Linked DNA regions of Coturnix japonica. The protein of the gene in region 1 purifies or fractionates together with the protein of each later gene. This does not show direct contact. Links are inferred from orthologs where the notes say so. Each region holds a gene or a part of one and is shown in the gene's direction. Other genes may lie near its edges.

Evidence for each region. The genes of interacting proteins can lie anywhere in the genome.
Region 2: the proteins of EIF2AK3 (region 1) and TBL2 purify together in Homo sapiens (affinity purification with western blotting; 3 studies listed by BioGRID). This does not show direct contact. The link is inferred for Coturnix japonica from reciprocal best matches to the Homo sapiens genes EIF2AK3 and TBL2.

Annotation. Positions count from the first base shown.
Region 1 is NC_029519.1:77,991,304-77,995,711, reverse strand, and holds part of EIF2AK3 (eukaryotic translation initiation factor 2-alpha kinase 3), read left to right. Parts: intron 1-423; coding exon 424-618; intron 619-2,936; coding exon 2,937-3,067; intron 3,068-4,408. UniProt on the Homo sapiens protein: Metabolic-stress sensing protein kinase that phosphorylates the alpha subunit of eukaryotic translation initiation factor 2 (EIF2S1/eIF-2-alpha) in response to various stress, such as unfolded protein response (UPR).
Region 2 is NC_029534.1:126,472-131,561, reverse strand, and holds the start of TBL2 (transducin beta-like protein 2), read left to right. Parts: upstream 1-1,975; 5' UTR 1,976-2,014; coding exon 2,015-2,111; intron 2,112-2,245; coding exon 2,246-2,388; intron 2,389-2,472; coding exon 2,473-2,657; intron 2,658-2,986; coding exon 2,987-3,138; intron 3,139-4,230; coding exon 4,231-4,357; intron 4,358-4,485; coding exon 4,486-4,638; intron 4,639-4,998; coding exon 4,999-5,090. Other genes in the region: MLXIPL (carbohydrate-responsive element-binding protein), read left to right, coding at 194-321, 474-597, 1,331-1,460, 1,536-1,645.

The DNA of each region.
Region 1 (4,408 bases):
AGACTTTCTAGGGAGGAGAAGTTGGATTTAACTGTTTTAAAAGCCAGAAACGAAATGTAAGGTCTGTCAGTGGTAATTGCTCTGTCTGCTTTAAAGGAGGGTGGCTATTCTGGTGTAGTCATCAGTTGTAGAAGGGCACACATACAGCCTCAGCTTTTCTTTTAGAACAGAATATAGTTGTCTGATCTGGAGAGAATGCTCAGTTCTGTATTTACTACGACATTCACTCTGGGGAAGGGCATAGAAATTTACAGCTTTACCTAGAATGCCGCTGTCTTGAAACAGTCACAATAACGTGCTTAGTCTTCAGCCACTGACTGACTATTAAGTATAAATCACTGTACTTGTTCATGCTATGCTTCATTTTGCATCTGTGTATGTTTTGCTAGAAGTAGTAGCTTATATTCTGCTGTCTCGTTTTAGGTATTTGGAAATAAGATGATAATTCCTTCCTTGGATGGAGACCTTTTCCAGTGGGATCGAGATCGAGAGAGCATGGAAGCAGTTCCTTTCACAGTTGAATCTCTTCTCGAGTCATCCTACAAACTGGGCGAGGATGTTGTCTTAGTTGGGGGGAAGTCTTTAACAAGCTACGGGCTGAGCTCCTACTCAGGGAAGGTAAGAGCCTTTAAAGTTGTCTTGTGTATCTCAAATTTGTGTGTCTTATGTTTCTAATACTAACGTGCAAGTAGATTGTTCTTAAGATTTAAGCTGCGCTGCAGTTCTGGAGTATGATTGCACAGCACCAAAGAGAAGAATCCAAATTTCTTGGGAAACAAATAAAACAGGCTGGAGTAAGACTTGGCAGCTGGTGCAGTTAAATGACACTGCTGGGAGCATCAGTGCAGTGTTGTCTAGTGTGTGAGCTTCTGCTCTCTCCCTTGTGCTGCCTCTGTCACTTGCCATTTGCTGAGCAGAATCAATTTGCTAACCTAAGAGAAAACTCTTTGCTTTTTATTGGATTACTTTTGTGCTGAGTTAGCAAATTCAGAGCAAGGGGAAGAAATGACCCCTTTCTGCCGAATTGGAAGATGAGTTCAGCTTTATTATGTGTCTCTGCCTGGAACAGCCTTCACAGTTCAGCTTACTGAACATCAAATAAAGTTTTAGGTGATACATTTTTCACACTTAAAGATTTAATTTTTTCTCGACTAGCAAAGAGTGTCTGGTTGAAAACAAGAAAAGCATTCAATGTACATGAACTTCTGAGTTTTGTTCTTGTTGCCATTAAGTTTACTCTACCTTAGAAATCCTCCTTAACTTTTAACCTCATGCAGAAGTTAAGTTGAAAACTACTTTCTATCTGAGTGGTTCAGAAAGTGTTTCTTTTTTTTTTCCTGAAATTTTCTGGTTGAATGTTGTATACTTCTAAAAAACAGAAGGGAAAAAAGGGATAAAATACAGGAATTGATTGCATTGAGTCCTAGACTTGACAACCTTTCCAGGGTTGAAAAGGACCACAATGATCATCCAGTTCTAACACCCTGCTATGTTCAGGGTCACCAGACCAGGCTGCCCAGAGCCACATCCAGCCTGGCCTTGAAAGCCTGCAGGGATGGGGCATCGACAGCCTAAATATTTTAATGTTTTTAAACCTTATTGTTTTTACAATGTTTTTAAACTTTAAACTTCCAGTGTTTGATTTTCAAACAAAAACCAACAAACTGCTTTTTCCACTTAGACCAGGTGTCCTCACGTAGAATGCTGTTGTGGTTTCTGTAATGATCGCTGATGACAAGGATGCAAAGAAATAGATTATGAAATCATTCAGATTTTCTCACTGATGGCAAAGGGCACTTGTACCAGCTGTTGAGGAAGTGGAAATTTCAGTTCCTGCTTTGATTCAGGCCCAGACTTGCAGTACCAAAGGTGCTGCACACAGGAAATACTGCTTTACACTTCCATGTTTAGAGTTTTGGCAGTGTGGAACAGGCTGCCCAGAGAGGTTGTGGATGCCCCATCCCTGGAGGTGTTCAAGGCCAGGGTGGATGGGGTCTGGTATTAAATGTGGAGGTTGGCGACCCTGCCTGTGGTGGGTGGTTGGAGATTCATGATCTTTGATGCCTCTTCCAACCCAGGCCATTCTGCATGATTCTGTGTGTTGCCTTTGGCTCTGTAATGTCCATTCACACTTCCTGAGAGTGTGTCCAACTTACTTTCAAAACACAAGTGGTTGTTTATATTCCAAATACTGTTTCAGAATTGGACTGTTGCAAAGTCTGTGTGACAGCATTAGTTGAGGTCCCCATCCCATCTTAATAGCTGAAAAGACTAAGTGAGATGGCTCTGTAGTATTTTATATAGATCAATAGTACTTAATTTGAAGTTAATAAAGTTATGCTGAGGCAGATATGGCACGAAAACAGAATTATAATATGAACCTACTTCTAGAAATTATCTTTATGTCAATAGACATCGTGGAAAAAGGAGGAACTATGATTTCTTTCTGTTAGAATAGAAAACCATGCAAAGAGTCAATAAGTCAGGGATGTTCCAGATTATGAATTCCTAGAACTTTTAGCAAAAGCAGTTCTCTTAAACTGTGCTTTTTAACATCCATAAACTTGAACATCTAAAATCATGGAATCATAGAATGGCCTTGGTTGAAAAGAGTCACAATGATCATCCAGTTCCAACCCCCTGCTGTGTGCAGGGTCACCATCCACCAGACCAGGCTGCCCAGAGCCACATCCAGCCTGGCCTTGAATGTATCCAGGGATGGGGCATCCACAGCCTCCTTGGGCAACCTGTTCCAGTGCATCACCATCCTCTGGGTGAAAAACTTCCTCCTAATACCTAACCTAAACCTGTTTCAGTTTAAAACCATTCCCCCTTGTCCTATCACTATCCACCTTTATAAACAATCATTCCCCCTCCTGTTGGATCTTGAGGTTATTCACATTTCCATGCTGTGAGTCTCTTGCCTTGTCCCTTAGGTGAAGTACATCTGCTCGGCTGTGGGCTGTCGCCGGTGGGATGATGATGAGGCAGAACAGGAGGACACTCTCCTTTTACGCCGAACTCAGAAAACAGTACGTGCTGTTGGACCACGCAGTGGTAATGAGAAGTGAGTATTATAGTTACAGAGGTTTTAATTTGTAACACTTTAAGAATTTGACCTTTTTACTCTCAGTAGGAAAGGAATTGTATGAGGGATTTGGGACTGTTAACCAAAGGAATGTCACGGACTTGTTATTTAGCTCCTAACTCTTCCGGTTTTGAATGTTTCTGAAAAAAAAAAAAAAGCTCTCTAATTTCAGTTTTAGACCATTGGAAAAAATACTTGTCCATATTTATTTCCTCTAAGTCAAATGATGGTGACTTTTCTTGTCCTTGTATACCTTGAAAGTCTGTCTCTACTGCACAAGGCAAGTGTCTCCATTGTTTGTTCCAGCTGATCACTTGGTATAGGAGGATATACTTTGAAAGCCTTCTGTGATATTTTTGATTCTCTTTATCTACTCACGGTAACTGTCCCTTATGTATACTTGATGCTTTAGCTTTCATTTTAAGTTGACAAAATATGAACGCATTAAGGCTGAATTTATTTCAAAAAGCCTCATTCTTACATCTCCTTTTGTTTCATGATGTTGCTGTTCTTTTCTAAACAAGCTGTAGAAATGCTTTGGTCTATGATTTCCCTCATGCTCTGGCTTTGAAGTTTTCAGTACACTGAGATTTCTGAAACAAAATAGCACACACCCAAAACAAACAGTAAAACCCAACCCAACAACAACTCAACCAACCAACCAACCAACCAATCACCTTGCTTAAAAACAAGTTTGCAAGGCTGGTTGCTATACTAAGATACAGTAACTGCCCAACAGTTCGGTGGAGAGCTGGTCATTCTGTGTTATCCTGCTCCCTCTTCCGTTTGCAGCAGGATTTGAGAGTGTGTGCCCGTAGTCTGTCAGAAAGAAGCTAATTAGAAGTTGAATAGATGAGCAAATAAGAAGTCTTAAAAGAGAAATCCTGATTCTTAGAGACTGATACTGCCAGAGAGAGTTGAAGGGCTTTAGGCTGTGCAAGACAGCTCTGTGTTCATTATACAGTCGTATTTGTTTCAGAGTGTGTAAACCTGTAACATGAGCCATCCTGGCTTCATTGAATTGCCTGTCACAGAGATTCTGTTACGTTTTCTGTGTGGGGTTAAATGAAACAAACAAAAAAGAAAGCACCATCCCTTCTCTTGCTTGAAAGCCTTGCATTTAAATTAAAATATTCTTTGTTACTGAAGTATGTCTTCTATAGAATGCTGCTTTCTAAATGCTTTATGCTTTTATCAACTATGTAGCATCTCTCTCCCTAAACAGACCCAGCTTAATTATTATTTGATGGTATTTAGTTGTCTTCTCCATATGCTGCACCTTTAGTGTCATTGGCACTACTTCACCAGCTGTTTTCTTAC
Region 2 (5,090 bases), on another chromosome or scaffold:
TGGGCTGGCGCCAGGCGTGCAGGGACACAGAACATTGCCTAGTGATGACACGGTCCTGGGCTGTGCCAGCATGCACGTTGTGGTGCCTAAGGGCTGCAGCCTGATGCCAGGGCTCAGCAATGGGGCACACAGCCCCTTGTGCCCTACTCATCCCAGAGGCTCCCTGCACCATCCCACTTCTGCCACCCTGCAGGTCAGCAAGGCCACCACCTTGCAGAAGACTGCTGAGTACATCTGCAAACTGCAGCAGGAGCGGGCAGCTCTCCAGGACGAGGCGCAGCGGCTGCGGGAGCAGATTGAGGAGCTCAACAGCTCGATCAAGTAGGGGGGCACGGAGCACAAGGTGTTGCCTGCTTGAAACATGCAGAGCCACCAAGCCCTGCGGCACACCGGGCTCCTCTTCTCACGTGGGGCAGCTGCCGTGTGCCCCAGGCTCCCACCCGTGGCCCCACAGAACTGTTTGTGCCTCACAGCCTGTGCCAGGAGCAGCTGCCAGCCACCGGGGTGCCCATCACGCGCCAGCGCTTCGACCAGATGCGCGGCATGTTTGACGACTACGTGCGCTCCTCCACGCTGCACAACTGGAAGTTCTGGATCGTATCCTTTGGGTCAGCACTGGATGCTCAGTGCCCCTTCCACCACACACCAGGTCCGCCCTCCCCTCCCAGCTGTGTGGGATCCCTGCTGCTCAAGACGTTCTGTGGGTGACACGTGAAGGGGACACGCTCAGATGCTTAGAAGAAACTTCTGTTACTAGAGAGCAGCAGGGTAGGAATAAACGGTCAGTCCTTGGGGAGCAGATTGAAGTGCCCAGACTGAGCTGGGCATTGCTACACGGGCAATTGCTCCCAATAACTTTGGAACTGGCGCTGAGATGCAGCAGCCATCGGTTAGAGGTTGGGAAAGGATCAGATGCAAACCCAGGAACATGATGGTTTCAGCTGGGTGTTTGTGTGCTGTGCTGTGCTGTGCGCTGTGAGCTATGAGCTGTGTGCTGTGCTGTGCTGTGTGCTGTGCTGTGTGCTATGGGCTGTGTGCTGTGCTGTGCTGTGAGCTATGAGCTCTGTGCTGTGCTGTGCTGTGAGCTATGAGCTCTGTGCTGTGCTATGGGCTGTGTGCTGTGCTGTGCTGTGAGCTATGAGCTCTGTGCTGTGCTGTGCGCTGTGAGCTGTGTGCTGTGTGCTGTGCTGTGCTGTGCTGTGTGCTGTGCTCTGTGCTGTGCTGTGCTGTGCTGTGTGCGCCCATCACAGCGCAGTGCAGGCAGGATCGCTGTTGGCCGCACACAGGGCACCGCGGCCACCGCCACGTTCGTCCTTAACCGCTCCAACAGTTCAGCGTCATCATCCGGCCCCTGTTCGAGTCCTTTAACAGCACGGTGTCCACCAGCAGCATGGACAGCCTCACGCAGACGTCCCTGGCCTGGCTGGAGCAGCACTGCTCCCTCCCCGCGCTCCGGCCGTGTACGTGGCGCCGCTCGGTCGGGGGGTGGGAGCAGCCGGCCCGGTCCGGTCCGTGACGTGCCCCGTGTCCCGCAGCGATCCTGGGCTCCCTGCGGCTCCTCAGCGTCTCCACGTCCATCCTCAGCGACCCCGCGCGTGTCCCCGAGCAGGCGGCGCGCGCTGCGGCCGGGAGCGGAAACACGTGACAACCGGGACGGGACGGCGGGAGGGAAGGAGGAAAGGGACACCGCAACAACAAGACGGCGCTCACGGGACCGGGCCGCGTCCGCACCATAAAGCAACACCATTAAACCGACACCATTAAAGCTGCGCCATAAACCGGCCCCGTTAAAGCTGCGCCATACGCCGGCCCCATTAAAGCCCTCATAAACCCGGCCCGGTACCGGCCGCGCCATTAACGCCCCCATAGAAACACGCCGCCGCAACTTCCGGCCACGCGCGGTCACGTGGGAGGGGGCGGGGCCAAACGAGAGGCGCGCCAGGAAGGGGCGGGGCGGGGCCGTGTGTCGGCGCATGCGCAGCGCGTGCCCCGCCCGGCCGTGAGCTGTCGGGCCATGGAGGCGGCGCTGGGGCTGGGGCTGCTCCTGCTCGTGGCCGCGCTGCTCGTGGCGGCTGCGCTGCGCCGGGCTGCACCGGGGAGAACGGCCACCGGTACGGCACGGGGTGACGGGAGAGTGGGTACAAGTGTGGGTTCGGCTGTGGGTACCGGTGTGGGTACGGCTGTGGGTACCGCTCCGTTTCCGCCCTGCCCGCGGTCGCTCCCCGCTGAGTCCCGCTCCCCGCAGGCCCCGCACTGACCGGCCCGGTGCTGACCGGCCCCGCCGCCTCCAGCCCCGACAGTCCCCGCAGGGCGAAGCCGCGGCCGCGCAGGGAGAAGCCGCAGCGTGAGCCCGGCTTCACGCACCGCCTGCTGGCCGCCGCGCTCAAGGTACCGGCCGCCCCCACGTCCCGCTGGAGCCCCCCGTCCCGTCCCATCCCGTCCCGTCCCGGCCCTGACGGCCGCTCCCCGCAGGGTCACGTTGGCGCTGTGAGCTGCCTGCACTTCAGCAGCAATGGGAAGCACTTGGCGTCCTGCGCCGACGATCGCACCGTGCGGCTCTGGAGCACACGCGACTTCACGGCGCGCGAGCACCGCAGCGTGCGGGGAAACGTGGAGCTGGACCACGCCGAGCTCGTCCGCTTCAGCCCCGACGGCAGGTGGGGCCGGAACCCCGTGTGGCACCGGCGGCGCGATGCGGGACGTCCCGCCTTAACGCGGGGCTCGGGGCGGTGTCACAACACCCGCGTTGCCGGCCGGTATAAGGGGGGTGCGGGAGCTGCGGGGGAGGCAGCTCGGTGCTGCTGAATTGCTTTGAGGGCAGAGGAAGGGACGGAGCTACCGCAGGGCAGGTACCGAGCCCTCATAAAACAACTGATGTGTCACCTCTCCCCCAGGTGCCCCACGGTGACCGGTAACTCACACACCGGAGCTGGGCCGACCACGGCAACCTGCTGCTTAACGGCTCGGTTCCCGTCCTTCCACTTAGGGCGCTCCTCGTCTGGCTGGCAAACGGAGAGACAATTCGTGTCTATAAAGTGACGAAGAAGGACGACGACAGCTTCACCTTCACACCATCCTCCGAGGATTTCCCAAAGAAGCACAAAGCTCCCGTCATTAACATGGGAGTCGCAGAGACAGGTGAGCTGCTCCCCTGCTGTGCCCCCACACCCACCTGGATTTCCTTTCTGAGCAACAGCCGCTGGGTTGAACATGTTGATAGTCCTTGACTTGATCAAGGCCTGCTCGATTCTGTGTTATTCTAGTTGTTGTGTCTTAGCCTTTGTTTACTATTGAGTAAGCTGGAAAACAATTTGAGGAGAGAAATCTCTAAGGAAGCTTAGAATTGCCTGATTTGCAGTGTCTTATTTTAGGCTCTCAGGGACACTGTTGTAAAGAGTCGTGGTCTCAGTATTGAGCATCACTGTTGTCTGGCTTGTTGCTCTTGCTTCAGCCAGTGAGAAATGGCTGCAGTCAGTTGACAGGTTCAGGAGCGTAGGCTGGCCCTTGGTATCTCCTAGAACAGCCTGAGAAGGGTGAATGTTGATGGCTGAGGCTTGGTGGATTCGTGCTTCAGCTGCGTGGCAGCGCACAGTTGGCAGCGGGTGGATGCACGTTCCACTCTGTAAGAGAAAAGTCCATGAATTTTTAACTGAGGTCTTTGTTTGGCTGCAGGAGTGAAAATTGAAACCCTGTAACAAGTAGCTTGAAGATAAATTTGAACTCAGTGTCCGTGCTGAGATGAAAAGTGAAAGCACAGCAAGTGGAAACAAGCAAATATCCAAAATGCGACGCCACCAGTAATCCAGGACAAACGTAGTGTGACTTCTAATCATCTACCAGTCTGTAATCCCTGACTTTGAAAGCTAGATACCTCTCCTGGTTAAAGCACAACCTGATAAAGTCTGCTGCATTGACTGAGCGTAGCACTGAGCTCTGCAAGTAGGATCTGAAAGGTGCCGGGTGGAAGCTCAGGGGGGCTCTGGGTTGGCAGCTGTGAGCTGCTGAGTCCTGACTGAACACTGGTACATACCCGGCCATGGGCCTGTTGGCACGGCTTTGTGCTCTGTGCCAGGAGAAAAGTGCTGCTGCTTTGGTGCTGCTTTTGGTTTCCTGACAGTTCTGATGCAGAGACAAGTTTCTCTGTTTAGGAACCATTACAGCTGTTGGTGACTATGGCAGCTTTAGGCCTAGGAATTCTCCTCATCTCTGCCTTTTTCTTCCTCCCCCCAGGGAAGTTTATCATGACAGCTTCCAGTGACACTACCATCCTGATCTGGAGCCCCAAGGGTGAAGTCCTTGCCAGCATTAACACTAACCAGATGAACAATGCCTATGCTACTGTATCACCCTGCGGGAGGTGAGGAACCTGCAGGTGTTTCAGGCTGCTGCTGCTGAGTGGGAAGCTCAGTGGTGCAGTGGCTGTGGAGCTGACCCTATAACCCAGCCACAGTGATACTTTGTAATAGACTATTTTATTTTGTTCAGGTTTGTGGCATCGTGTGGCTTTACTCCCGATGTGAAGGTTTGGGAAGTATGTTTTGGCAAGAAAGGTGACTTCCGGGAAGTGACCAGGGCTTTTGAGCTGAAAGGCCACACTGCTGGCGTGTATTCCTTCGCCTTCTCTAATGACTCGAGGCGGTAAGTGTGTTCTAACACTGCCTGAGGATACCCTGAGGATGTGTGTGCTCACACCTCCCAGTGTGCCTGAATTGCCCATCCATACTCAAACCTGTGCCCATCCCGGCCCCGGGTGCTCCCTGGGTGCCCAAGCACTGCTGTGGTCCGTCCTTATCCTCCTTGTGGGTTTCCTCCTGTTGGGTGACCATCCTCCTTGCTCTGGGAGGATGACGGCCCTATGTGTACACACGTATGCAGGCTCATGTTTTCCAAAACCAGTATCTGTCCACAAAGTAAAGGATTCCTGCTTTGTAGATGCGAAGAGGGAACAAGTAGGACCCACCTTCCTGGCAGTCACGTGTGGTTTATGTTTGCCTGTAGGATGGCTACCGTTTCCAAGGACGGGACGTGGAAGTTCTGGGACACGGATGTGGAGTACAAGAAGCAGCAGGACCCGTACCTGCTGCTGACGG